Stegostoma tigrinum: one gene and its partners. The protein of the gene in region 4 interacts with the protein of the main gene of each other region in a pairwise test. Links are inferred from orthologs where the notes say so. Each region holds a gene or a part of one and is shown on either strand. Other genes may lie near its edges.

What was found.
Region 1: the proteins of arrestin red cell (region 4) and mitogen-activated protein kinase 9 interact in binary tests that used the Homo sapiens proteins (3 or more experiments, as listed by UniProt). The two-hybrid records come from large-scale screens. The link is inferred for Stegostoma tigrinum from reciprocal best matches to the Homo sapiens genes ARRB2 and MAPK9.
Region 2: the proteins of arrestin red cell (region 4) and agtr1a interact in a two-hybrid assay, tested with the Homo sapiens proteins (2 studies listed by BioGRID and IntAct, with this or other methods). The link is inferred for Stegostoma tigrinum from reciprocal best matches to the Homo sapiens genes ARRB2 and AGTR1.
Region 3: the proteins of arrestin red cell (region 4) and adrb2a interact in binary tests that used the Homo sapiens proteins (3 or more experiments, as listed by UniProt). The link is inferred for Stegostoma tigrinum from reciprocal best matches to the Homo sapiens genes ARRB2 and ADRB2.

Annotation. Positions count from the first base shown.
Region 1 is NC_081366.1:37,148,543-37,155,419, forward strand, and holds the start of mitogen-activated protein kinase 9, read right to left. Parts: upstream 3,014-6,877; 5' UTR 2,800-3,013; intron 1-2,799. UniProt on the Homo sapiens protein: Serine/threonine-protein kinase involved in various processes such as cell proliferation, differentiation, migration, transformation and programmed cell death.
Region 2 is NC_081367.1:68,722,608-68,729,923, reverse strand, and holds the start of agtr1a (type-1 angiotensin II receptor), read left to right. Parts: upstream 1-4,312; 5' UTR 4,313-4,600; intron 4,601-7,316. UniProt on the Homo sapiens protein: Receptor for angiotensin II, a vasoconstricting peptide, which acts as a key regulator of blood pressure and sodium retention by the kidney.
Region 3 is NC_081366.1:51,363,641-51,370,811, reverse strand, and holds adrb2a (adrenoceptor beta 2, surface a), read right to left. Parts: upstream 3,001-7,171; 5' UTR 2,730-3,000; coding exon 1,476-2,729; 3' UTR 158-1,475; downstream 1-157. UniProt on the Homo sapiens protein: Beta-adrenergic receptors mediate the catecholamine-induced activation of adenylate cyclase through the action of G proteins. The beta-2-adrenergic receptor binds epinephrine with an approximately 30-fold greater affinity than it does norepinephrine.
Region 4 is NC_081398.1:5,107,522-5,115,125, reverse strand, and holds the start of arrestin red cell, read left to right. Parts: upstream 1-4,591; 5' UTR 4,592-4,641; coding exon 4,642-4,706; intron 4,707-7,604. UniProt on the Homo sapiens protein: Functions in regulating agonist-mediated G-protein coupled receptor (GPCR) signaling by mediating both receptor desensitization and resensitization processes.

The DNA of each region.
Region 1 (6,877 bases), on a different chromosome or scaffold from region 4:
CCCACCCAGACCTATCCCCTCTGTAACCCACACACTCCTAAACACTACGGGCAATTTAGCATGGCCAATCCACCTAGCTTGCACATCTTTGGACTGTTGGAGGAAACCGGAGCACCTGGAAGAAACCCACTCAGACACGGGGAGAATGCGCAAACTCCACAGTCAGTCGTCTGAGGCTGGAATTGAACCCGGGTCCCTGGTGCTGCGAGGCTGCCGTGCTAATCACTGAGTCACCATGCCACCCCAATTTGATGGCAATTTAAAAGATGCGTTTAACAGCAGTTCTACTTTTAACAGAACTGAATTGCACTCTCCATCTAATGCAACAGAATTTTGAAATAATCAAATACAAAAATGAATTTTCACCTACAAGGTAAACAATTAGCACTTCCCACTATGCCGTGAAGTTGGAAATTACCCAGTTCCCCTGTTTATATTATTCATTATTCTCCAACTCTCTGCTTTTAATAACATTCTCTGCATTCCATCTAACTAATCACAACCACATCATCCTTTTCACATTTTAACATTAATTTGCCTAAAATCTTTAACAGAAACTTGCTCATTTCAACAGTCACTCAACTGTTCTAACAGTCCACCATGTGTAACTGGGGGCGGGGAAGGAGAGAGAGAGAGAAAGAATGTTGGAGATGTGGACAGCAGTGAACGGGGTGGGAGAAAGCACCAGAGACCGGGAGCTTGGGGGCAGGAGTGGGAGCTCTGGGGGATGTGGTGGCAGGAATGGCAAAACAGCAGGAGCTCAGGTGGGTGTGGTGGGGGCAAAACAGAGCAGGCAGTGGGGAAGTCAGCAGAGTAGTGAAGACAGAGAGAGATGGCGGGGTCAGAGGGTGGGAGCTGGGAACGGTCAAGGGGTAGGGAAAAGACAGCGTAAACTGGGGGTGTCAGGGAGTGTGGAAAGACAATGGGAGCCGGCCGGCGGGCGGAAGAGACAAGAGAACTGGAGCGTGGGGGGTCCAGGGGGTGGGGAAAGAGAGCAGGAGCCTGGGCAGGGGGTCCGGGGGTGGGGAAAAAGGGCAGGGGGTCCAGGGGGTGGGGAAAGAGAGGAGTCCAAGGGATGGGGGAAGATTAGAAGCTTGCAGGGGTCCAGGGGGTGGGGGTCTGAAAACAGAGCGGGGGGGGTGTTCGTCCAGGCAGTGGAGAAACAGACCAGGAGTCGGAGGGTGGGGGGGGAAGTCGGAGGGTGGGGGGGGGGGGGGGGAGGAGTCGGAGGGTGGGGAGGAAGGAAGTCGGGGGGGGAGGAAGGAAGTCGGGGGGGGGAGGAAGGAAGTCGGGGGGGGGAGGAAGGAAGTCGGGGGGGGAGGGGAAGTCAGGGGGTGGGGGGGGGAGAGTCAGGGGGTGGGGGGGGGAGAGTCAGGGGGTGGGGGGGGGAGAGTCAGGGGGTGGGGGGGGGAAGTCAGGGGGTGGGGGGGGAAGTCAGGGGGTGGGGGGGGGAAGTCAGGGGGTGGGGGGGGGAAGTCAGGGGGTGGGGGGGGGAGTCAGGGGGTGGGGGGGGGAGTCAGGGGGTGGGGGGGAAGTCAGGGGGTGGGGGGGGAAAGTCAGGGGGTGGGGGGGGAAAGTCAGGGGGTGGGGGGGGGAAGTCAGGGGGTGGGGGGGGGAAGTCAGGGGGTGGGGGGGGGGAAGTCAGGGGGTGGGGGGGGGAAGTCAGGGGGTGGGGGGGGGAAGTCAGGGGGTGGGGGGGGAAGTCAGGGGGTGGGGGGGGGAAGTCAGGGGGTGGGGGGGGGTGGGGGGGGGAAGTCTGGGGGGGGGTGGGGGGGGGAAGTCAGGGGGTGGGGGGGGTGGGGGGGGGGAAGTCAGGGGGTGGGGGGGGAAGTCGGGGGGGGGAAGTCAGGGGGTGGGGGGGGGGGAAGTGCAGGAGCTTACGGGGGTCCAGGGGGTGGGGGGTTGGGGGGAACAGAGCGGGACCCGGGGGGGGTCGTCCAGGGGGTGGAGAAACAGGGGGTGGGGGTGGAGAAACAGGGGGTGGGGGTGGAGGAAGGAGGTCGGGGGGGGGGTGCAGGAGCTTGCGGGGGTCGGGGGTGAAAAGAGCGGGACCGGGGGGGGGGGGGGTTCGTCCGGGGGGTGGAGAAACAGGGGGTGGGGGGGGGGGGGAGGAAGTCAGGGGGTGGCGGTTGAAGTGCAGGAGCTTGCGGGGGTCCAGGGGGTGGGGAAACAGAGCGGGAGCCGGGGGGTTCGTCCAGGGGGTGGAGAAACGGGGGGGGGGGGGGAAGGAGTGCAGGAGCTTGCGGGGGTGGGGAAACAGAGCGGGAGCCTGGGGGCGTGGGGGTCGGGGGGGAACAGAGCGGGACCCGGGGGGGGGGGGTTCGTCCAGGGGGTGCAGAAACAGCGAGAGCCTCGGGGGGAGTCAGGGGTGAGGAAAGAGAACGGGAGCCTCGGGGGGAGGCAGGGGTGAGGAAAGAGAGCGGGAACCGGGGTGGGTCAGGAGAGCGGGATCTGGGGGGGGGGGGGGGGTGAGGAAAGAGACCGTGGTGGGTGTTGAGGTTGGGCAAGATAATTGGAGAGGTTGGGAAGGGGTGATGGAAGCGTCGTGGGACAGGTTTGGTGAGGGAGAAAACGGACCGTAATAGGGTTGGTTGGTTGTGGGTCTGTGGGGTGTGGTGATTCGTCTTCCTGCCGTCTGGCCCGGAATAGCCGAACCGCGCCAGGTCGGGTCGGGCCGGGCCGCTGAATACTCAGCGAATCCCAACTCGAGGCCTTGCGGCAGCTCCAGTCGCTCGGGAATCTCTGATAAAGGCCTTAGTCAAGGCTGCGTGCAGGGCGGCCTGGCAAGTCAGCACCTACCTCAACACAACCGCCGTAGCAAAGTTCCAAAGTGAATTACAAACAAACCGGGGGAGGTGGGGAAATCCTCCCGTGGGTAGCGGGGGATCAGGCTAGCAGTTAACGGCAATAGAGAGTGACGGTCAGAGAGGAGCCGCCGAGCTGTCACCGAACGGCTGCCATGGTTGCTCGAGCAAAGCTAAACATTCAACAACGTCAGCGCGTTCCCACTACCGGCCGCCCGCGAGCCCACACCCCTCTTCGTCCCTGGAGGGGGGGGGGGTAAAGTGATTGACAGCGGTCCTAACCACCAGAATCACGAAGACGGAATCATAGTTACCAATCACCGCCTGATGGAGGCGGGCAGATAGGTGTCGTGATGGACTGCTCTGCAGAGTCTCATTCCCCGGAATGTCGGAATTAGCGAAAGACTCTTGATTTTGGAACTGGGCTTTCACGTAAAATAATTCCTTAATATCATGAGAAAATAAACAGAATGATTCGGGAGAAGACTTAAATGTATAAATATGCAAGGTGGATCCAGAGTTGGTTCATATATTGGCGCTCCCACACTGACCTCCAGATATGCTCCTGTGTCAGATTTCTTACTGTGGGTTTATTTTTGTAAGCATTCTCTTCCCACCCCGCCCCCCACCATGAAGACTTGGTGTTCCCTTTGCTGATGCTTCCACAGTTCTCACCTAGGGAATTATCATCCCAGTTTTAAGTCTTTATTCATCTATTATTCTTGCTGTTTCCTTTCAAAAATTTTCTTCCATACAAGTGGTCACTAGCCATTGATCTAGGTTTGACAGAAATACGTCTTGTGGCTAATGACCCCTTTGAATCCTTCTTGTCACCAAAGAAACGATGGCAAACATACTCAAGAACAGATTATGAATAGCCTCAATGCCTTTGGCATCAGCAGATCACAGTCATACAGCACAGAAACAGATCCTCCGGTCCATGCTGAACGTACTCCCAAACATTAGTAATCCTGCTGGCCTGCTTCAGACCTATTTCCCTCCAAACCTTTCCTATTCATGCACTTATCCAAATGCCTTTTGAACATCGTAATTGTACCCACATCCTCCACACCGTCAAGACGTTCATTCCACACATGAACCACCCTCTAAAAAAAATTGCCCCTCATGTCTTCTTTTAAACTTCTCTCGTCTCACCTCAAAAATGTGCCCCATAGTCTTGATATTCCCCGTTTGCAGGGAAAAGACAACTACCATTAAATATATCTATATTCCTCATTTTCTGATAAACTTTTATGATCGCTGAACCATTCTCTGCCCTTGCTATTCTGGTGCTGTTATAGCATCACAGTACTTGATGACATTCAAAGTCATTACTATAAGCAAGGCTGATTTGCCAGTTCTAAATATGTTATTAATTAAGCCATTAGATAAAATAGCTAGAGATAATGGGAACTGCAGATGCCTCCCCCTCTCTCCCTATTTATTCCAGAACCCTCACCCCATCCCCCACTCTGATGAAGGGTCTAGGCCCGAAATGTCAGCTTTTGTGCTCCTGAGACGCTGCTTGGCCTGCTGTGTTCATCCAGCCTCACATTTTATTAGATAAAATAGCTACTCCTGATCTGCATATCTACTGAGGATTCCAGGCATCGAGAGCCTCAAGATGAAGCCCAGTGCAATCTGGAGTCAAGGCCTGGCACAGACTAGAGGTTGGGAAGGACTAGTCTTGATTTTCTGATTTATTCCTACAATCTGTAGTGCTGGACTTTTTAATTTCTTCATTTTTCTTTTTTTTTCCTGAAGAAGTTGTACTGAAGAATCTGTACCCAGGGATCTTGTACCAAAGATGGCACCATAAGTGGCGACTTGTAAACTTTTCACTAACTCATTAGAGTGCACGTAACAATAAAGCTAATTCCACTCGATATCATGCAGACCATGTGGAGGTTGCAGAAGAATCTTCAAAATCTTAAATTCTAAGAAAAACCTCCCCCAGTTTGTAAAGCATAGTTTGATTTCAACAAATTTGTGCTAATTAGATATGGATTAACTTCTAAATTTTAAAATATTTTCTCTTGAATCCTAAATCCTGTAAGTTTACCATGCCAGTCTATAATTTACTTGACTTGTCTGCCTTTCTTTTCGACAGTGATGTTATACTTTCAGTCTGATGATATAATTTTCTTGAATGATGAGGTTTGGCTAAGCATTATTGAACCTCTGCTTTCCTCCCCGACATGCTTCAGTAAATTCAAACCCATGTCAAAACCAAGTGATTTTTCCAACTTATGCTCTGCTGAATTTTTCAGAATCACATCTTTTTTTTTAAACTTCTAATAATCATTTCAAATCCCCTGGCACTCCAACATTATCTTTCACGGTATAGAAATGAAATATCCCTTTTTAAATGTGTTCTTCAGAGAACAAAGCACAGTTGATCATTGGAGGATTCACAAGAACACTCTTTGAATGTCACAACAAAAATATTAAATGATTCCTTAGACGATGCCCAACTGTCAGTTTCTTTATATTAATAAGAAATTGTAAGTATTATCAAACATATTGCTTTAGTTAGAATGAGGATATCAGGGCAATAATGTGACATGGTTGTTAGCTGTCATACATGCATGGTTTTCAATGAATTGAGGACCATTTTCAAATATCACTTCTGCTGGGGCCCTTAAAGTCTACAGACAATGCTAACACTGATGGGCTAATGCGGCAATCAACATGGGTTGAAGCTTCTGTCCAATACTCTGAGTGGCAGTCAGGAGGACAATGTTCTGTCCCCACCATGACTTGATCTGAAGGTATCTTGGTCCATGGTGATAATAGTAAGTCAAACAGTTGGAAGGAGTCTTGTTGCTTAATCATGTCATGATCAACATGACCGGTTAGGAGCTACCCCTCAGGTTTCTGAGTGCAGGCTATTACAAACTGGCATCCCAGAAGAAATTCCCAGTCATTAGACTGCAATCAGGACTTTCTTTGTTACTGTCTAAAAGCAGTTTCTGAATCACTGTGTTCATATTCTCTCAGTGTATAAACCCTGTTTGTTGCAATGTTCAGACTGGGTCAGTTTATGGGTAATGACTGTGCTTAGATATTAAAATGATTGCACACTGGTAAGCTAGCTACTGTAGACCCTGTTATGTTCACTGTCCAGAATGTAGACTATGTTGATTAATAGCACATGTATTACGGGTCAAGGGAACCTGGACACTATATTGTCAAATTATTGTCTGACATGAGGTTTACACTTGTGAGTTGAACATCTGGGTTTCATGGCATAGGTCTTTAAGAATGCAGAAAGGTAAGAGTTGGGCCTTGCATATGTTACGGTCTGCATTCTCAGTTAATGCCTGCCTAGTTTTCCAGGACAGATGATAAAGCTACCGTTTGTAAAAGGAATTGAAAATGGTTTGCTGAGCTGTTCATGGGGAATAGGTGCCCCACTGCAACGTTGTCAATTTCATTCACTCCTCCAATTTAGTCAGGCATTCCCTAGTTTCATGTATGGGTCATTTTTTGGTGATTCTTGAAAGTGTCTTGCCATCTATCTCTGAAAATCTTGCTGCCGTTGCCTCTACGAACTATTCACAATCTATATTAATGACTTGGATGAAGGGACCAATGTACGTTTGCTACATTTGCTAATGACACAAAGAGAGGTAGAATTGCAACATGCAAAATGGACATAAGGAGTCAATTTGGAAAGGGATATAGATAGGTTAAGTGAATGGACCATGATATGACAGATAATTATAAACTGGGAAAATGTGAACTCATCCACTTTGACAGGAAAAGTAGCAAAACAGTATATTGTTTAAATGAAGGCTGCGAAGTTGTTTCTTGCAGAGGGATTTCAGTGTTATAATGCATGAATCATAAACTGAATATGCACTTGATTTAAAAATTATGGCTTCTCATTTAAAACAGAGATACTCAGACTTTACAGGATCAAACATGCATGTTAAATTGAATGAAATTTATTGTCATGTACTCAAATTAGTACAGTGAAAAATTTATAAGTTGCCACTTACAGCACCATCTTAGGTGCAGAGTCCCTAAGTACAAAGCTTAGTTCCAGTACAGAGAAATGAAAAAAAAAT
Region 2 (7,316 bases), on a different chromosome or scaffold from region 4:
GATGGAGTCTTACAGGGGCTGGAGCAACATGGACTCTGGTGAGATTTCAGGCAGAATCTAGCGAGGCCTATCTCAAACTGAGGAACAAATTGCTGTATCCTTTACGCTAATGCTGAATGGTGAGGTGATTTGTGGTAAGTTGCTAATTAACACAATTCTAGCTTCTTAAACACCTCATTAATAGCAAAACTTGCCTCACTAACAGTCAACTTCTTATCAAACGGGCAAACATCGCGTTTTCGCAGAAGTACAAGCGAATGCCCAACAATTTCAGTTCACTGTTGGCTGTGAGGAGCCTCCATGATGCTCAGAACCAAACAGCATCTCACAGGGATAATGGGAACTGCAGATGCTGGAGAATCCAAGATAACAAAGTGTGGAGCTGGATGAACACGGCAGGCCAAGCAGCATCTCAGGAGTACAAAAGCTGACGTTTCGGGCCTATGCCCTTCATCAGAAAAGCTTTTCTGATGAAGGGTCTAGGCCCGAAACATCAACTTTTGTACTCTGAGATGCCGCTTGGCCTGCTGTGTTCATCCAGCTCCACACTTTGTTATCTTAGCATCTCACAGGGCACAACCTGGAGACACTGGATGAATGTATCCAAATCAAATGTACGTAATACAGGTCAGAAGTCTAATGTCAGGCGCCCCCACACCCATCCAGACCTTTTCTGCCCTCTTTTTGGGCACAGGGTGTGAGAGCAGGTGAGAGAGGATGTTACATGTGATCATGGGAGTAACAGAGCTTGAGCCTTGCAGTGGCAGAGACACAGTGAGTGTGAGGTAGCAGAGCAAAGAGTGTGTGAGTTATGTTGGTGGAGCAGAGAAGGTCATTGACCTCCATGCAGATCTTCTGGCCACTCCCCGCCACAGATACGACATTGACTGGGACAGTCACCTTGGATCCAGCTTCCAGGGTCCATTATCGTGGCCTCTTCTGCTGGTCCTTCAGGAGAGGGACAGCCCTCCTCTGCATCATCCCTTATATTAGGTCCTCCAGGTCCCTGTTGGAGCTGGGGAGTCATGAATGAATTACAGAGATTTACAGCAGGGAAACAGACCCTTTGGTCCAACTCATCCAGGCCGACCAGATATCCTAAATTAATCTAGTCCCATTTGCCAGCTTTTGGCCCACATCCTTCTAAACCCTTCCTATTCATGAGCCCATCCAGATGCCTTTTAAATGCTATAATTGTACCAGCCTCCACCATTTCCTCTGGCAGCTCATTCTATACACACACCGACCTCTGTGTGACAAAGTTGCCCCTCAGGTCCTTTTTACACAAGTTTGCCCTCACTTTAAACCCCATGTCAGTACTGAACATTGAGCAATCATCAGTGAACATCCTTATGATGGAGGGAAGATCATTGATGAAGCAGCTGAAGATGGTTGGGCTGAGCTGAAGAGCTCCTGTAGAGATGTCCTGGAGCTGAGATGACTGACCTCCAACAACCACGACCATCTTCCTTTGTGCCTGGTATGACACCAAACAGCAGAGAGTTTGCTCCCAATACTCATTGATTCCAATTTTGCTACAAAATAATGCAGATGCACACTGATAATAAGAAAAGTATAATAAACAATAAAGGTCCAATAATATTTTCTGCATTAGTTGGCTGAATTTCCCAGGAGATTCACCAGAGCAAATAGCACAGCTGTCTCTTGACAGCTGAAAGATTTTTTTTAAAAAAGCATCTGCAACTTTATTCTTCTTAGCAAGACACCTCTGAGCAGTTGCCAGGAGCTAAGCAAACGACTGGACTGGGACAGTGGGGTGGATGAGAGAGTAGGTGATAGTAAAACTTTGGTCAAAATTAAAAGATGTTTAACACATTTTGTTCTACAGAGAGAGGTGACAATTCTAAGGTTCGGGACCCGCAGGTTCCCTGAAGTCAGAGATATTCATAGAGTCCTTAAAACAGAAAGAGGCCGTTCAGCCCATTGTGTGAGGACCGACCCCCTGAAGAGCATCCAACCTACACCAAGCCCCTATCCCTGAGACTCTTTATCTATTATAACTAACCCACACATCTCTACAGGGAAATCTAGCACAGAAAAACCCATCTCACCTGCACACCTTTGGACTGTGGGAGGAAACTGGAGCATCCAAAGGAATCCCACACAGACACGAGGGGAACATGCAAACTCCACACAGACAGTTACCCGAGAGCGGAATTGAACCCAGGTCCCTGGTGCCATGAGGCAGCAGTGCTAACCACCGAGCCAACATTCCACTCACAAGGATGGCGCTCATTTTTATCTGATTTCCAGCATCTGGATCTCTTTCCGTTTCTCATTTTAATCTTGCCACCCATGTATAAACTGTGGATGATCGTAATAGAACATTTATTTCTGTCAGTTTTATTAGTGAAAGCAAGTGAATGGTGTGTGGAAAGCTTTTTAATCGTTGCCCCTTTTTGTTCACCTGATGAAGGAGCAGTGCTTTGAAAGCTGGGGATATCAAATAAACCCATTGGACTATAGCCTGGTGTGGCGTGACTCCTGACTCTGATGATCTCAGTCCAACATTAGCAGCTCCACTTCTTGGACAAGCAATGTATTTTACTCACCAGCATTCACACCCCAAACCCATCCCTGAGCTGCCTCCACAAGGACAAGTATTTTCTCTACAGCTGTCTTACAAAATCCTTGCACCACCTTAAACAGCTCCGGCAGGTCACCTCTGTTTGCTAGCATGTAACAGGGTGAAGTATGTCGGCACCAGGGAAACTCAGCACTGACAACACCTCGAAGGCAATTAGGGATGTGCAATAAATGCTGAAATTGCCAGCAACCCAGTGAACGCACGAAATAAATGTACAGTGGCAAAAGGTGAAGCCAAAAGCCAAATGGAAAATAAAAAGACATTGCAAAAACAACATGTCTTGACCGCGTCTCCCGCATTTCCCGCGACACATCCCTCACACCCCGCCCCCGCCACAACCGCCCCAAGAGGATCCCCCTCGTTCTCACACACCACCCTACCAACCTCCGGATACAACGCATTATCCTCCGACACTTCCGCCATTTACAATCCGACCCCACCACCCAAGACATTTTTCCATCCCCACCCCTGTCTGCTTTCCGGAGAGACCACTCTCTCCGTGACTCCCTTGTTCGCTCCACACTGCCCTCCAACCCCACCACACCCGGCACCTTCCCCTGCAACCGCAGGAAATGCTACACTTGTCCCCACACCTCCTCCCTCACCCCCATCCCAGGCCCCAAGATGACATTCCACATCAAGCAGAGGTTCACCTGCACATCTGCCAATGTGGTATACTGCATCCACTGTACCCGGTGCGGCTTCCTCTACATTGGGGAAACCAAGCGGAGGCTTGGGGACCGCTTTGCAGAACACCTCCGCTCAGTTCGCAAAAAACAACTGCACCTCCCAGTCGCAAACCATTTCCACTCCCCCTCCCATTCTCTTGATGTCATGTCCATCATGGGCCTCCTGCACTGCCACAATGATGCCACCCGAAGGTTGCAGGAACAGCAACTCATATTCCGCCTGGGAACCCTGCAGCCATATGGCATCAATGTGGACTTCACCAGTTTCAAAATCTCCCCTTCCCCCACTGCATCCCTCAACCAGCCCAGTTCGTCCCCTCCCCCCACTGCACCACACAACCAGCCCAGCTCTTCCCCCCCACCCACTGCATCCCAAAACCAGTCCAACCTGTCTCTGCCTCCCTAACCGGTTCTTCCTCTCACCCATCCCTTCCTCCCACCCCAAGCCGCACCCCCCGCTACCTACTAACCTCATCCCACCTCCTTGGCCTGTCCGTCTTCCCTGGACTGACCTATCCCCTCCCTACCTCCCCACCTATACTCTCTCCACCTATCTTCTTTACTCTCCATCTTCGGTCCGCCTCCCCCTCTCTCCCTATTTATTCCAGTTCCCTCCCCCCATCCCCCTCTCTGATGAAGGGTCTAGGCCCGAAACGTCAGCTTTTGTGCTCCTGAGATGCTGCTGGGCCTGCTGTGTTCATCCAGCCTCACATTTTATTATCTTGGAATCTCCAGCATCTGCAGTTCCCATTATCTCTGATGTCATTGACAGCATTTATATCTGATAACTTGCACAAAGTTATTAAGTGGTATGCATGTCATAACTGTGTGGATACTGCGTAACAGAGCTGGTGACTACAGGGTTAAAAGTGGATATTTCTTGAGTGCCTGCGACCCTACTTTGTGATCATTTCCGTTACTTTCAGAACTTAATTAATGACGCAAAGGATGATTACAATGAAGCCAGCAATAAGATTTATAGCACAGCTCACTGGAGACCAGTGTTGCACAGTCACTGAAGTGCAGCAGTCTGCAATCAACAGCTCTCAGGAAATTGCACTGTAAATGGCTCAGTGTTTCTGAGTGACAGAGTCAATCAACTCTTGCAAATTGGAAAGGGGGAAGCTCATCACCATCTGTGTTTGGCACTGTCCTCGGCTCCCCGTGGGTGTCAGGGTGAGCATAAAAGAATATCTGCTGTCACTTTTTCTGCAGTTCAGTTGTGGCATGTGTTCACCCCGCTCAGTGGACATCTTCAGATCGCAAACAGGCTGAGACCGAAAGCTCACACATCAGTCTCCAGGTAGGAAAAGCATTATAGCTCTCCTCAAGTCTCTGACGCTGTATTTGTCCCCTTCTTTCCCGTTGCACTTGTAGAATAGTAGCCAGATTGTCTCCGGCATTTCCAGTCCTTGCCCTGGCCACGGAAATGTTTAATCTTGCAATCCTTTTGATTTTTACTACAAAGTTGTGCTCTCACCATGATAACACTGTGGCTTTGTAGTGCTCTCTTTTTTTATAATTATTGAGAGCTCTTTGTTAACGTGTCTCCTTTCCATGGCAAGTTTTATTGACGGGCACAAAAGGAGGGAATTACTCTCATCGTTGTCTCAACCCATTTTGAATTTGTTACAGGTGTCTTCTCAACAAAGGTTTCAGCCAATATCGGGATGAAGAAGCAATTTTTTTGCCTAAGTTTACAGCCAAATATTTGCATTAAGGGTTGCGCTTATTTCTTGCTGGTGATACTGTGATCATGAACTGGGTCTTGGATTAGGTGGAAGAGGTGAGACTTCCTAGAATCCCTACAGTGTGAAAGCAGGCCATTCAGTCATTCAAGTCCACACTGATCCTCTGGACAACATCCTACCCAGACCCAAACCTTCGCCCACCCCCCCCCCCCCCCCACCCCACCAACAAGCCTGCCTGTGCAACCCTGCATTTCCCATGGCTGACGCACCCAGCCTACACATCCGTGGATATTACAGGGCAATTTAGTACAGCCAATCCACCTATGACTGTTACCTCCATCCATAGAAGGCAGTATCATCTTGGCCAGCTGATGATTTCTAAGGCACAAAGATCAATGCGTGAAACTAACATTGACAAAGTGAGAATTCAGATTTCTGTAAAAAGTCAACTGTAAGACACCTATAAAACCACATGCTCAATTTTTCCACCCAATCTAATCAATGGGCACAGGATCACATTGGTTGGATTGTGAGTACACAATGCCACTTGGTCAATTTTCCGTCATGCCCTTCAGGCAAACTTTACAGTAAAAAACACAAAGAGAGACTAAACCTCTAATCTTTAAACGGCTGGTACCCCTGGTGGGAAATGCTTACTGTGATTGTGTTTCCTTTTTAAATGAATGTCATTTTATAATCTGTCATTTGTGTGCCAAAAATATGAAGTGCAGTGAGAAGATGATTGCTAAACATATTTTAATAAGCATAGTTCTCCCTTTAAACTCACTGTTGATAGTCAGTAAGGCTGGCTACTGCTTTATTCTTACAATATTATACTGCTTTAATCTAACAATATTACCCTTGATTGTCGATTAATTGAAATCTTAAAAGTACTTGATACATTAAAAAGTGGACTTGCATTTGTACAGTGCCTTTCACAATTTCAGGATGTCACAAAACCCTTTATAGCCAGCTATGTACTTTCAAACCTGGCCCTATTCTAACCCAGGAAACACAGGGACCAATTTGTACACAGTAAGATCCCACAGGAAGCAATGAGAATATAAACGGATACAAAAACTAATAGCAACTCACAACATGTTGTCCTCTACATTGGGCAGATTGGGCAACCACTTTGCAGAACACCTATGTTCTATCTGCAAAAATGACCCTGAGCTTCCAGTTTCCTGCTGCATCAACACACCACCCTGTTCTCTGGCCAACATCTCTGTTTCAGGCTTGCTGCACTGCCCCAGTGAAGCTCAGCACAAGCTGGAAGATCAGTAACTCATTTTCCACTTGAGAACCCTGCAGCCTTCAGTTCTCAATATCGAGATCAATAATTTCAGAAGATGAACATCTTCTATGTTCTTTACCCAGCCCCACAATCCAGGCCCTGCCATGAAATCAAGATAACAAAGTGTGGAGCTGGATGAACACAGCAGGCCAAGCAGCATCTCAGGAGCACAAAAGCTGACATTTCTGGCCTAGACCCTTCATCATCTTGGATTCTCCAGCATCTGCAGTTCCCATTATCCCTGCCATGAAATGGACTGCTCTTAGCAGAGCCAATCCATTTTCACAAACTCATTGCCTGCACTATCAGCTCTTCTCCTTCCCTGACACGCTGTCAATTGCCTCTTTGGCTCCCTCACTTTCTTTCTCTATCTCTGGGCTCGATCTCCACCTATCTACTCACTCCTTCACTCCCTCCATCACAATACCTCTGACCCCCTGTCATCAGCATGAACGCCACATTTCCTGAGCTATTATTAGTCCTGAAGAAAGGGTCACTTGATTCAAAAGGTTAACTCTGTTTTCTCCCCATGGATGCTGCAAGATCCGCTGAGTCTCTCCGACAACTTCTATTTTTGTTTCCAATCTTCAGCATCCACACTTCTTTGTTTTATTTAGTGATAACCGGATGCTCTGTCGTATTTTAGTGATGTGGGCTGACGTATAAGTATTTGCCCTCATTATTAGTGAATTCCTCCACACTTCTTTTAAATAGTACCATTAGATCTTTTACACCAAATGGAGAGATCAGTTGGGTCTCAGTTTAATGTGCTATCTTAAAGGAGGCATTGGGACAGTGCAGCACTCCTTTGGTACTACACTGAGTGTCAGTCTGGACTTTACGCTAAAGTCCCAGGAAAAGAACTTGAACTTAAAAACATTCAGAGATAAGAGTGCTATCACTGAACCACATCTGACATTTGAATCCTAGATTATTACTGAAGGAAATGAATTTGTAGAAGTGAAGATTAGTAATTTTTTAAATTCATTCATGGGATCAGGGTGTCAATAGCCAGGCAGCATTTATTGCCC
Region 3 (7,171 bases), on a different chromosome or scaffold from region 4:
ACAGCCAATATTGATTCTAAATAATAAATATCCAAAATTGTTTCGTTTCTTAATTACCTGAATTCATATGAAAATCCAAAATAACTGTTTTGTTTTGACGTTGTGCGAAAATATATCGACCCAGAAATCAAGTAAACATTGAACTGCCCCATGCCTGTTCAGCGCCGAAATCACGAGCATTTATTGCACATAATCCCACAAAGATCCGCTCCAAGCGTTGGCGTACAGGAAAATTCCAATACCCGGACTCAGGAACTAGACAATGCCACAGAAAGCTCAGGTTAACATTTCAGTAGGATAGCTTTTGACTGACATTGGTACAAGGTAATTATTTACTATTAAAAAAAGTTTTTCTTGTTGTTGTTCGACACTTATTCACGTGAAACCACGCAGTCTCTATCTGCGAAACGTATGGGGGGCGGGGAATGGAAAACGACAAGCCTCACCTTCATTGCAAAGAGAAACGTCCAGAAGAGCTACAGCGATAATGGGAACTGCAGATGCTGGAGAATTCCAAGATAATAAAATGTGAGGCTGGATGAACACAGCAGGCCAAGCAGCATCTCAGGAGCACAAAAGCTGACGTTTCGGGCCTAGACTGAGCTTCAGCACTGTTTGACTCGAAAAAGTGCAACATTGCAAAATACAGTTACGCACTTAAAGGTCACAACGAACACACCACAGTACAAGTACAGACACAAAATGTGAACGCGCCGGCAAATGAGCACACACGTTTGTTTTCTATTTTATGAAAATGCGTGGATGAGGAATGGGAAGGGGTGGGGTGTTTCCTAACTCGAACTGCGCGCACGCAGTTGCAAACCCGTTGGACATCTAACTTTGAGAAATCGGATAGACTGGACCCTTCCTCCTCCTCATATACAGACATCCCACTCATTTCTCTTTGTTGGGAGGAAGTTGGGCGATCTCGCTACTTAGTGACCGCAATGCACATCTCTTTTCTCACTGTCTAACAGCTACTGTACTGACTATTTGACTCCAATGTTTCCAGCAACTGCACTCAACAATCCTTCTTTGAGATCCCTTCTTCAGCCGAATAAATCGCCTGATGTTTTGTGATATAGATCACAATCCCTTCTAAAATGGTGTGCCAGTGAGCATCCAAGGGGGTAAAGAGGGCGCAAAAATGCTTTCAGTAAGGTCGACATGGCCTTTATATAATAGGCGTCATGCGAGTTGTAAACATTTAAACACTCCGTTAATGCTCATGTAGCAACATTCAAGAATTGTCCTTCTGTTTTACTGAGCTGGCTTACATCTCCCGCGGGGCGGGCTGGGGGTTCACACACTTTCACCACAACGTCCTTGCATTGCGTTCACTGAGTTATGAGGTAGGCGAATGCATGAAAAGTACAAGCGGAATCGAGCTGGAACATCTCGTCTTACTCAGTGTCAAGTTCGTGTGCCCCCTGTTGCTGAGTTCCACTAGTTGTGTGGGTGTCGGTTAGCCGCCGCTATATGACCGAATCTAGGAGCCTGTGTTCATTGCCATCGGGCTGGGGGCTGCAGTTCGCAGCTGCGGGCGCCGCTCCTTCGAAGCTGCAGGGCAGACCGTTCGTCAGGCGATCCTCGCTCGGCACGGGGTTGTCATTGGGATAACTGCTGTGGTGGGTGGACGGCAGCGAGCCCCGGCAGCCCCACAGCACCGTCTTGAAGGCATGCCTGAAATCCGAACTGCGGCAGTATATGAGCGGGTTAAAGGCCGAGTTGGAATAGCCCACCCAGTTCAGGAAAATGAACACGGTGTTGGAGATGCTGTCCTTAAAAATGACATTGACGATATTCACCACGAAGAAGGGCAGCCAGCAGAGGGTGAAGACGCCCATTATAATCCCCAGCGTCTTCAGAGCTTTGTGCTCCTTCAGATTGAGAAACCTGGGCGTCCTTTTCTGCCCCTGTTTGGCAGCTTTGCCATTCACAGAAGGGGCAGGCTGGTTCAAGTTGTTGTTGAGATTGTGGAAGCGACCCTGGTACTTGTTGATCTTCTTCAGCTGCTGCCTGGCTTCCTGAAAGACCCGGGTATAGAGGAAGACCATGACGAGCAGGGGCAGGTAGAAGGATACAATGGAAGAGGAGATGGCGAACTCTTTGTTGGTGAGGAACTCGCAACACCTGGGGTCGGTGTAACATTTCTGGGAGTCCGGGTCATCCAGCCTCCACCAGCCCATGTAGATGGGCAGGAAGGAAGTGAGAGCCGCTACCATCCACACTAGGAGCACCACCAGCCGCGCTTTGCACTTGGTCAGCAGCGTTTGGTAGCGGAAAGGCGAGGTAATGGCCAGGTAGCGGTCCAGGGCGATCACACACAGGGTGCCAATACTCGCCGTCACGCACAGAACATCCAGCGAGGTCCAGAAGTCGCACCAGAAGTTTTCAAAGTACCAGACGCCGGTGATACTGCGGACCCCACCGAACGGGACAACGATCAGCCCCATCACCAAGTCTGCACAGGCCAGCGACGTGATGAAATAGTTGGTGACCGTCTGCAGCCGCTGGAAGCGGGCAATTGCCGTGATCACCAGCACATTACCGAACACGATCACCAGCACCATGACCGACATGACGATACTGACAATGATCTTCCAGGCCGGGCTCAGCTCCTTGCGGGTGACCGCGCTCTCGCTCCCCGGAGCTGCGCTGCTGTTCAGCATGTAGGGGCTCAGTGGGAAATAGACACTGCTCTCTGAGCTACTCTCCTGCGAGCCCATTCTCAGCGGCGCTGCACATAATGCCAGCAGCTCTCCCTTCTCCTCACACTCATATCACTCGGTGACTCTACAGCCGGCCACTTAGCCCTCTCTCTCTCTCTCTCTCTCTCTCTCTCGCCCGTTCGTTGCAGAACTCCGCTTTGTGGATTCTGTTTGAGCGCTCCTTCCTTTTCGCTTCTATATAGCGCCCAAGGGGGGCGGAACGTCATAATCTTTCACAACCAATCGCCGTCTACCTGCAGCTTCAAACCTCGAAGCCTGCACCCATCGTTAGCTGCACTATTTACCTCCAAGTATTAGACACAAGTGGCGTGTTCCCCGTCAGTCCGACCACCACTGGGGCTCAGTAACTCAACTTCACAGTATTCAGAAAGGATACAGGATTCGGGGCTATTCATATAAATGGGAGAAGTAGCCATTTGTCAATCACAAAAAAGACATACTTTTATAGTAAATTGCCACTTTTTAAAAAAATTCTAGGCTTGAGAAATTCTCTGCAGAAACCAGCATTCGTGCCAGATTCTCACCATCACAGCGCAAGGAACACAGACGCTGAAGTCTGACTTCCCCCCCCACCCCACCCCCACCCTCCAAAGCTTCTGACAGCGCGTACTCCCAATCTGAAGTTTACTGGGATTCTGCTACTCGAATCGAGACCTCCCGGCTTCAATTTCACCCTCCCCTCGAATGAAGTCGCGCATTGTTTTTTTTTTCTTCTTTTCCTGAAGACGATATTCCTGTTCTGAAATGTGACGGGTAAGCAGTGGAGGTAGGCTCAGTGCAGACTTCCTGACTTCTCTTACGCCGGCTAGGCACACGCGCGCACACACACGGAGCTTCACACACTAACTGTAGTCAACACTCACTTTGCCACTTGAGGCTATACGCTGAACCGGGACCGCTCGGTCATGAATCAAACCTGACCCAAACTCTACATTCCGGTTAGGGACATACACCAGGCTTTATTTCACTGCCCACAGTGATGGGCCAGCAGACTTGCCATCACAAACACAGTGCAAAAAGGTGTGCCTCCCATTTATTTCTGCACATTGGCAGAGTTATCGCCTCCTCCAGACAAAACGGAAGTTTTGCTTTCTTTCTCTGTTGTGCCTGTCCTGAAAGCTTTCAGATATGTTTCCATCTCCACAAGTTCGATGTTCGTTGTGGTAAGCGCATTAGACCATTTTACACTATGTTAACTGCACAAAATAAATGCAAACTGTTGTTGGACACGCATAACTGTAATACTTCGCGAGATTTCTAGAACAGCGCGAATTGTTCTACGTTGCCGACTTATTTTATCTAAATGCTGAATTCTCCAAAACATTTTGATTTCCAGGGAGACAATCGCTCCAATGGTTAAGTGTACGATCTCGCTGGGCTGATGCATTATTTGCATATGTACGTTCAAAGGATGTCAATTGAAACTGTCTCTCTTGGTATCTGATGTTTTATTAAAATATTTACTGTGGCAATATACTTAATAGCATGTTCCCTGGAAAAATATACCCTACTGACATTCCCAAGAAACTACCTCGGTGAATATAATTTTTAAACCAAAATTAGCTACAATTTGAAGTAATGGATTATATCCTAAAGTAAATCAAAATATTGTCGTCAGCTTGGGTTATTATGTAACATTTGCGCCTCTGAGTCAGTTCAGGATCTAATCATCTCAGAAGGTTCCAGCATAATTATGTTGAACGAGGTTAGAAGTTTGGATGACAAGTGTGCTTTCGTGTGACCGTTAAATATCTCCTAACAGTAATGGAAGGATAAGCAGGGAAGTAGTGCCTGGTTACTTAGTAGCAGTTTCATTTTTGTCTCAGTTCATCCACTCAACTGACCCCAAATATCTCTTCTGTATGGAATCCAAATCGTTCTCTATTTTCCACGAGGTGCGTACACTGGTCCATCCGAATGAACAAACGCTTCCGATGTCAGTTCTAACTTTGCTTTTCACTAGTTCTAACCTCTAGTCTCCTGTAATATTTGCAATGTAACTGCATGTTCTGGATTAACCGTTTACATATCGTTTACACAATGTTCCATAACAAATGCAGACATTTCGGGCCTAGACCCTCTGATGAAGGGTCTAGGCCCGAAACGTCAGCTTTTGTGCTCCTGAGATGCTGCTTGGCCTGCTGTGTTCATCCAGCCTCACGCTGTATCATCTTGGATTCTCCAGCATCTGCAGTTCCCATTATCTCAGACATTTAATATCCAGTTAGAGGATTCGAAAAGTAAATACGTTGACACTATGTTAACCTTTTTGTGGCAGAGGTTTAATTGATTCTGTGGGAGATACCAGAGCAATTCGACATTATAATCAATGGGCACCAACCCGGTTATATTTTAGCCCTCCGTCACAATATCCCACTTTGGGTATCAAATATCTGCGGCTGTTGTCAGGAATGGGAATGAGAAAACGCAATCCATTCAGATAGCTTCGGACTAAGTGACCGATGTGTATAGCCCCAACGCCAAGCACCTCCGCTACCCTCGGGGAACAACGTAGAGGATCCAAATGATGTCAAGGCAAAAGAAGCTAATGACGTTCCCGGCTCTGAAGAGGTGACACTCTCAGCGTGACCATCTCTTCATGTCTCCGTTTGAGATATCGCTCGTCGTTGGCAAACAAAGCTTCTCGCAGAGATCGACACCGAAATCGATATTAGGGTCGCCCGGTTAAATCAAAATCCTGAAATGGTACAAGTGGTAAAGTAGGACGCGAGCCTGTACATATCTCTGGAAAAAGTACAATATATTAAAGAGAAGTTGGGCACTTATAAGCGTCAAGGTTGCATTAGGTCAGATGAACACAAGTCATTTTCAACTAACGTCTGCTCAATGACGCTGGAGAATCTACAAGTGCCTCTCGCTTCCCAAGTCTGTTCAGTGGGTTGCTACAATTGAAAGCATTGGGACTGTTACGTTTCTCCATAAATGTAGATGGTTGATTTCAGTTATCACATTTGCTTGTATGCCGAAGGAGATGGTGAATGGGAAATTGAAAATTATTTTTACATTAGCCTTGGTGTAGATTTCATATGATGTTATCCAATACTAACACGAGAAATTGGTACGTAATTTGATCCTAAAGCGGCAGGGCATCTTTTGATGAGAAAACAAACAGAAGGGAATGGTAATGGTAATTAATTAACTCAAAAAACAAACAAAAAAATCCTACGTAAGTAGTGTTTAATGAGGTAACACAAGATGCGGAGAGATCCGAGTTCCGCCAGCAAACAAAAAGTTAATGTGCCTTAAAGCACATTGTAGAACTGCACAGTGCCCCAAATTAATGAATCAAATGGAGGAATTGCTCCGAAATCTCCAGTACAGATTTCTGTAGCCAAACCGGTCTGATCTTTAAAAGGGCTAGAACAGTTCCAGGATATTTATAAATCAATTAATGGCTATTTATACTTCGTTCTAATTATAAAAGGCTGACGTTCGCACCGAAATAAAGTGTCACGCATGTTACGTCTTTTAGAAAACAGGTAGATTAAAATGCTGTCGCTAGCTATTCATTTTGCTTTGCGTGATAAAACGAAACAAGTTTGTATTAAGAAAAAATGTCAGGAAGGCGTCAGGCTTTCCACGCAAATCAGCGTGTTTGAAGTTGATAGTATTTCAAATTAGTATGATGTTTGGCTCTGTAAACAAGGGCATTAGATAGATAAGCAAGGGGAAAAAACAAGTTTACTAGACTAATGCTTGGAATGAGTGGGTTGTTTAACGAGGAAAGTTCGGACAGACTCCAGGAGCTGAGAAGGCTAAAAGTCAAGTAGGTTGAAACGTAAAATCCTGAGGGATCGTGACAGGGTCTGTGTGTAAAGGATGCTTCCTCTTCTGGGATGTTCCGCAACTCAAAAGATAAAGTCTCCGTAATTAGTTATAAAGTTATATGGTATGGAAACACACCCTTTGGTCCAGCTCATCCAGGCTGACCAGATACCCTACATTAATCTAGTTCCAGAGATAATGGGAACTGCAGATGCTGGAGAATCCAAGATAACAAAGTGTGAAGCTGGATTAACACAGCAGGCCAAGCAGCGTCTCCGAGATGCTGCTTGGCCTGCTGTGTTCATCCAGCTTCACACTTTGTTATCTATTAATCTAGTTCCATTTGCCAGAGCTTGGCCGATATCCCTCCAAACCACTCCTATTCATGTACCCATCCAGCTGCCTTTTAAATGTTGTATTTGTACCACCTTCCATCACTTCCTCTGGCAGTGCATTTCACACACACACCACACCACCCTCTGAATGAAAAATTGCCCCATAGTTCCCTTTTATATCTTTCCACTCTTTATATGTTTATAAAATTATTCCCTCTGGTTTTGGACTTCCTTACTCTGGGAAAAAGATCTTGGCTCTATAAGGTTGTGCCTCAGCCTCTGACACTCCACAAAAATTAGCCCCAACCTATTCAGCCT
Region 4 (7,604 bases):
GGCCCTTCGGCCCAACAGGTCCACACTGACCCATTAACCTGTAAACCCACCTAATCTACACATCCCTGAACACTTTGGCAGCAACTTATCACGGCCAATCCACCCTATCCTGCACATCTTTGGACTGTGGGAGGAAACCGGAGCACCGGGAGGAAACCCATGCCGTCATGGGGAAGATTGTTCAAACTCCACACGGACAGTTGCATGAGGATGGAATTGAACCCGGATCCCTGGCACTGAGGCAGCAGTGCTAGCCTCTGAGCCACACCTGAGTTGAGGAAACGTAGTTAGCAGGATTTGAACCGGCATGGGGAAGCCCAAATGAATTTCTAATTGATTTGCCTTAACCACTCAGCCATGACTACAGAGGCCTAATGCTGGCAAATGAGACTAGGTTAACTTAGGACATCTTGTAATAAAGATGTACAGCATGGAAATGGGCCCTTCAGTCCAACCTGTCCATGCTGACCAGCTATCTTAAATTAGTCTAGTGGCATTTGCCAGCATTTAGCCCATATCCCTCCTGAGCCCTTCCCATTCATGTACCCCAAACGAGTTGGACTGAAGAGTCTCTTCCCATGTTGTATAAGTCTACCAACTGTATAAATGTGCGTTCTACGGACAGCAAACCCACAACCACTATATTGTGTGCAGGCTAAATTAGACCCTCTAATGGTTTAATTGTCAGTGGTGAGTTTTTATTTGTGTGGCTGGGGGAGGGTGTTAAGTGAATAATAGAATAACAAAGCTTATTTTTTGCATTGCCTCTTATAGTAACCTGGTGATGTGTGTGTTCTTTAAAACATTGTGTTCTCCTGAGCCAAAACGTTCTAGCAGGAGCCAAATGTGTTCCCTGAAGCCGTAGCTAATGCTGAACTGAGGCAGAGATCCTGACCGCAGCGCAGGAGCTGACCAGATGGTCAACACATTGTGGTGTTTAGCATTGAATCATCATGGTTTCTGTTCAGTTTCACTGAAAGATGAGGAAGGCATTGGGTTTAAAGATAACAAGGTGTGAAGCTGGATGAACATAGCAAGCCAAGCAGCATCAGGGGAGTGGGAAAGCTGATGTTTAGGGCCTAGACCCTTAAGGTTTCTGATGAAGGGTCTAGGCCCAAAACGTCAGCTTTCCTGCTCCCCTGATTCTGCTTGGCCTGCTGTGTTCATCCAGCTTCACACCTTGTTATCTCAGACTCTCCAGCGTCTGCAGTTCCCATAATCTCTCAAGGCGTTGGTTTTGCTTGCTTTCATTGGTCAGAGTGTAGGAATCGGGAAGTCTTGTTGCCGCTGTACAAGATGTGGCTGAGGTCATGTTTGGAGTACAGCGGGCAGTTCCGATTGCCCTACCACAGAGAGGATATTTAAACTAGGAAGAGTGTAGAAAAGACGTTACCTGGACTGGAAGGTTTGTGTTATAAGGGGAGGTTGCATATACTGGGACTTTTTGTTTTTTGCCTCTGGAACATAGGACATTGAGGGGTGGCCTTTTCTAGGAGTCTATAAAATCATGAGAGGCACAGATAATGTAGACAGCCAACAGCTTTTTCCAGTGGGAGGGGAGTCTAAAGCTAAAGGACAAAACCTTTTTTAAAGTGAGAAGGGAAGAGATGCCAAAGGTCCAGAAGGGCAATTTTTAACACAGGATCGAGTGTCAGGAGTGGGCTAGAGGTAGTGGCAGAAGTGAGTACAATTTTGTCAATAAAGAAACATTTGGACGGGGCAAGTGTGGAAGTATATGGGCTAAACACAGGCAAATAGGACTAGTTTAAATTGTGAAAACTGGGCAGCATGGACCACTTGGCCGAAGGGCCTGTTTCTATGCTATGAACCTCCTGACTCTCTAACTTTCACCAAGAGCAGCTCCTAATGCCTTTTGGTGGGGAGGCAGCTTCCTTTTAAATTCATTCATTCAGAGATGAAGGTATCTCTGGCTAGGCCAGCATTCATTGCCCATCCCTAGTTGCCCAGAAGGCACCTGAGAGTCAACCACATTGTTCGGGAAAGGTAGGGTATAAAGAGCCGCGGATGCTGGAAACAAAAGCAGAAATTGCTAGAAAAACACAGCAACATCTGTGGAGAGAAGCAGAATGAACGTTGCTGGTCCGGTGACCGTCCTCCATAACATGGAGTCGAGAGTCATGTAAAGTCCAAACCAAGTGACAATGGACCTTTCCTTAAGGACTTGGTGAGGCAGACACTGGATTCATGGTCATTGTTAGACTCTTCCAGACACTCACTTATTTCTTTTGCTGAATTCAAATTCTACTACTTGCCAGGAGGGGATTTGATCCTGGGGCCTCAGAACATTAGCCATGTTTCTGTGTCAATAATCGAGGGATAATGCCACTAGACCATCCCTTCCCCTTGCCTGCAAATTGAACTAATTAATCTGTGACTTGTCAGGGTCACGTGTTCATTTATTCTTTTGGAAATTCTCTTTTTTTTGTCTTCACCTCCCCTCCTACCGTGTTGTAAACCTCCTAACTCTGGTATCAGCCTGTGACTCTCCTGATTCCCAATGCCTCTGGGGAGGCAACCAACAGACCCAGGTGGGGTTTGAGTTCTCTCTCTAAATTGCAAGGAAGAGAGATCTCATCACCCAGAGATTGGGGACCTTGACGAATTCTCGATCACAGAAAGCAGTTGAAGCCAAAGCATTGAATGTGTTGGCGTTGGGTATAGCTCTTGGGCCTAAGGGTAATTAAAAGGTAATAAGCGAGAACAGTGCACAGAGTTGGATTATTAACTGTGATCGTACTGGAATGGCAGGGCTAGGGTCAAAGGGCTGAATGGCCTCCTAGCGGCTGTTTTGGCTTCCTGACTGCTGAGTCAGCAATGTTTACCATGGCAGGGCCTCAATGGTTGGGACTGCGGCCTCGCAGCGCCAGGGACCCAGGCGACTGTCTGGAGTTTGCACATTCTCCCTGCGTCTGCAAGGGGTTTGCTCAGGTTTCCTCCCACCGTCGCATGATGTGCGGGTTAGGGTGGATCGGCCGTATTAAAGTGCCCATAGTGTTCAGGGGTGTGTGGGTTATAGAGGGATGGGTCTGGGTGGGATCTCTGAGGGGCGGTGTGGACTTGTTGGGCCGAAGGGCCTGGTTCCACACTGTAGGGAATCTATGATGCTGTTGCCTCCGGATGTTTTGTGATTTGCTGTTGCCTGAACTGGCCATTGTTTGTCAGTGACCATGGTGGAATTTGCAGGCTATTCAACTACAGAGGCTTCAAGATGAGGCAATTTTCATCAGGGATCATTGGTTAGCATGTAGCAATCCATTCCCACATCTTGTACCATAAACTTCCAACAGCTCTGCTTTATAGTCTGAGCTTTAAAATAAATCTAGGAGAGCGGGCAGCGCTGGTCACCATGTGCATTTGCCATCGGGAGGGTGTTTTTATCCAATGCAACAGTGCTCGTGTTAACATAAACTGAGTGAACATTGGGGTATTGAAGAATCCCACAGAAACTTATTACAATTAAGTATTATGTGTCATCACTGCATTCTTCAGCCATATTAGTATCTGCGCTAACATTAAACTAGTGGGTTACAACAGATAAGCATCGTACTACATAAACATAGAACATTACAGCACAGTACAGGCCCTTCAGCCCTCGATGTTGTGCCGACCTGTCATACCGATCTCAAGCCCATCTAACCTACACTATTCCATGTACGTCCATATGCTCATCCAATGACGACTTAAATGTACCTAAAGTTGGCGAATCTACTACCGTTGCAGGCAAAGCGTTCCATTCCCTTACTACTCCAAGAAAAGAACTAGTAGGGTGTCCTGCTTTAAGTGACCCAAGGTACAATGGAGTCTGACCTCTTTCCACCCTCCTCCTCAGGTGTGATAATTAACTCAAATTTGATGCGGAGGCGCCGGTGTTAGACTGGAACAGATAAAGTCAGAAGTCACACGCCACCAGGTCATAGTCTGGCAGGGAAATCACAAGCTATGGACTAGTGCTCCTTCAGCCTTATCCCTGACAAAGGAGCAGTGCTACGGCAGCTTGTGATTTCAGATAAATACAGTACAGATTGACTGACGGTGAATAACGTTACCGTTTTTCCAGGCTATCCATTTCCTGGCTATCCCTTCTTGAATCCCCTGCTGTCCAAGTGGTTTTATGAAGCTCATTCCTCCTCCTCCAGGATGCTGGTCATAAACCCAACCCCTTTACCTGGGTCAAACACGGACAGCACCACGGTGTTTGGTATCACCAGACTCAACGGTTTCTGCTGGGTTTCGCCAGCGTGTGTGTGTGTGTTTCAGATTTCCAGCATCTGCACCTCCCTGGGTTACAAATGGGCCCCCCTGTGGGACCTTTCGCAGCGCTATACAAATGCACGTTGTCACTGTTGACTGAGGGGAGTGCATGGCCGAGATAAAGCATCAGGCGTGGCATTGGCCGGGAGGATGTCACTTGTATCTCTGAGATCTTGCGCTTTTTCCTGTTAACCAGGCAGATGCTTTCACCTCTGCTTGTCGCACTGTGCAGCGGGGAGTGCTTTTCTTTTGCTTCTGCGGAGGGGTGCAGCGAGGAGGGGGTGAGGCTTCGGGGTGGGGGGGCATTCGGCCTCGGAGCTGGAGGGCTTAACAGTGCAGCGGAAGACGGTGGGGGTTGGCGTCAGGAGCATGGCAGATACTCCAAGCAGGAACCTCGCACGAACCAAAGGGACTATGCAAACGCGACACAGGAAGTATGTTGTTTTTACTTTTTGTGTTTATTGCTCTGCGTTTACAGTCATTGAGCGCCAAATTCTCATAAGCACAGTGGGTAATCTCCCTTTTTAAGACTCCTGTCTCTCCAGGGCCTTCAGTCTGTGCCAGCTCAGCAGGCAGTGGGCTCTTTCAATCCCCTGCCTACCCAGTGGCTGAAATAATGCACTTGATTCAACTTGGGGCAGTCGAAGGATCTAACTGAATTTGCAGCCCAGGAGTGAGGCTGTTTGGGGTCTTTGTGTTGGTGCCATCCTTTTGTAAGAATGACCCAATTCGCCCCGCTTGCCCCATCTGTCTCCTCTTCCCGCGCCCCATGAGTTTCGCTTTCCTCCAGATAATTCTCTGGTTCCCCTTTTTTCCAATCTCTCTCTCTCCCTCTCTCTCTCTCTCTCTCTGTATGTGTGTGTATCTCTCAAAACCACAAGCATATCTGCCTCCACCATGTACTCTCGGGTAGCTCCTTCCAGATCCCACGCAGACGGCTTGTTTTTGTTTTAGAAAGCTGACAAACAATCTTTCCTCCTCCTGGCCTTTCCCTCCAGAGCATTTCTTTTGTAAAGAAAAATGTTCCCCCCTCCCCTTTTTCACTAAGTGGGAGGATTCTCACCTGCTGAAGCTGGGTGCCTGACTGATGTGTTGAAAGCCTCTAACGCATCTCCTTCTCGAACCTCCCTCCCTCCCAAAGAGGGCAACCACCCCCACCACCAGCGAACAGCTTCTCCCAGGAACCGTTCTTGGGCGTCTTCTTTGCGTCCATCCATGAGCATTTTTCCTCCATCACTTCAAGTGTGAGATGTCAATGAGGTTTCTGTTGTCAGGCCCAGGTCTCTCTCTCTCTCTCTCTGAAGCCCAGACAAGCTGGAAGTACCCACCCGAAGGAGGAAAACGAGATGTGCTTGTCACAGCAGTTGTTGTTGTTTGGTCTTTGTGTTCCTCCCATTCTGGGCCCAAGGACGCTCCTCGCCTTCTGGAAAATCCCAGTTTCTGGGAATTCCCTCCTGAATCCTCTCTTGAGAACCTAAGAATTCAGAACAGGTTGTGTGACCCATCGAGCTTTCTTTGCCATTCAATAAGATCATGGCTAATCTTTTCACAGACTGATACACACTTACCCTTCCACACACCGTAGCCCTTGATTCCTATAGTCACTTTCCCTACCTCTCTCCCAAGCGCACCCCCCCCCCGCCACCGCAACTTTTCCTGCACAACGCCCCATAAAGGCTCCTTCTCTGGGCCTCGGAACAAAGGGACGATCCTTTTAGAGCTGAGACAAGGGAGGAATTTCTTCAACCAGAGAGTGGTGAATCAGTAGAACGCTTTGCTGCAGAGACCGAACCAGTGAGTGCCTTTGAGACAGAGGTCCTTGACAGGGCAAGGGATCAAGGATTGCTGGGAGAAGGAGGTTAGAGAAATATGTCAACCATGATTGAATGTCAGAGCAGATGTGATGGGCTGAATGGCCTGTTTCTGCTCCTGTATCTTAGGGTCATACAACCTTCTAAGACCCCTTACACCATGGCTCTCATTTGAGAACAGTCCTATGAAATGACTTGTCGTTTTCTGCTCAATGAAATATACTTCATGTACAAACAAGGAGCATGAAGAGGCCATTTACCCCCTCAAGCCTGCTCCTGCTATTTGAGATCACAGCTGATCAGATTATAAACCTCAAACTCCCCCATCCACCTACCCCAGTAACATTTGCCCCCTTGCTTAACAAGATTCTAGCTATCTCTGCGTTATTTTTGCAAAATAAAATAAATGAAAGATTCTGCTTTCATTGCCATTTCAGAGAGACAGCCCCAGATTTTATTTTGAAATAAGTTTTTATGGGATGTGGGTTTTTCTGGCAGGCCCATATTTGTTGCCTGACTCTAGTTTTTCCCCCTTGAGAAAGTGGGATTGAGCTGCCGCCTTGAACCGCTCCAGTCCATGTGCTGTGGGCTGACCCACGATGCCATTTTGGGAGGGAATCCAGGATTTTGATCCAGCAACACTAGAGAAATGGCTGATTATGTTTCCAAGTCAAGATGGTGAGTGGCTTGAAGGGCAACTTGAAGCTGGTGATGGTCCCATGTATCTGCTGCCCTTGTCCTGAGAGATAATAGTGGTTGTGGGTTCGGAAGGAGCTATCTGAGGATCATTGGTGAGTTGTTGAAGTGTACCATGTCGACTGTACACACTGCTGCGACTGAGCATTGGTGGTGGAGGGAGTGGACGTGGCTCCAGTCAAGTGGGGACTGCTTTGTCCTGAATGGGTTTGAGTTTCTATGTTGGAGCTGCCCCCCGCCCCACGGTCCAGGCAAGTGGGGAGTATTCCCTCGCACTGCAGACCTGTGCCTTGTCATTGACACCAGCTCTCCAGAGATATAGAGAGAGAGAGAAATTGGCCTCTTCTGGTTTTTAAATTTCTGACCCTTGATCTGTAAACAACAATGCCTGTCTCCCTCAATCTTCCTGTGAGGGGTAGCACCTACCCCAACATCTAGCATGTTGAGACCACCCTGATCTTGCACTCGTGTGCAAATCTTTGCTTTCGTGAGGCATAACTGTGGATGTTGTTCTAAACAGAAGAAACACTGCTCAGAAACACCAAGTCCGTGTGCTTACCTCTATGTATGTTGTCTTTACCACTGGACCACTCCAAAAGAAGTGTCCCCTATCCCTGAGCCAGAAGGTTCAAGCCCCACCTACTGCAGAAGTATGTCCAATTTGATTTGTCATTGTTGCAAACACCAAAATAAAGTGTAAAAATAGAATAGAATGCACATTTTTAGTGTTGCAGCTACAGAGAAAGATCAAATCTAATATGAGAGGTCCATTCAAAAGTCTGGTAACAGGGAAGAAGCTGTTCTCAAATCTGTTGCTATGCTATG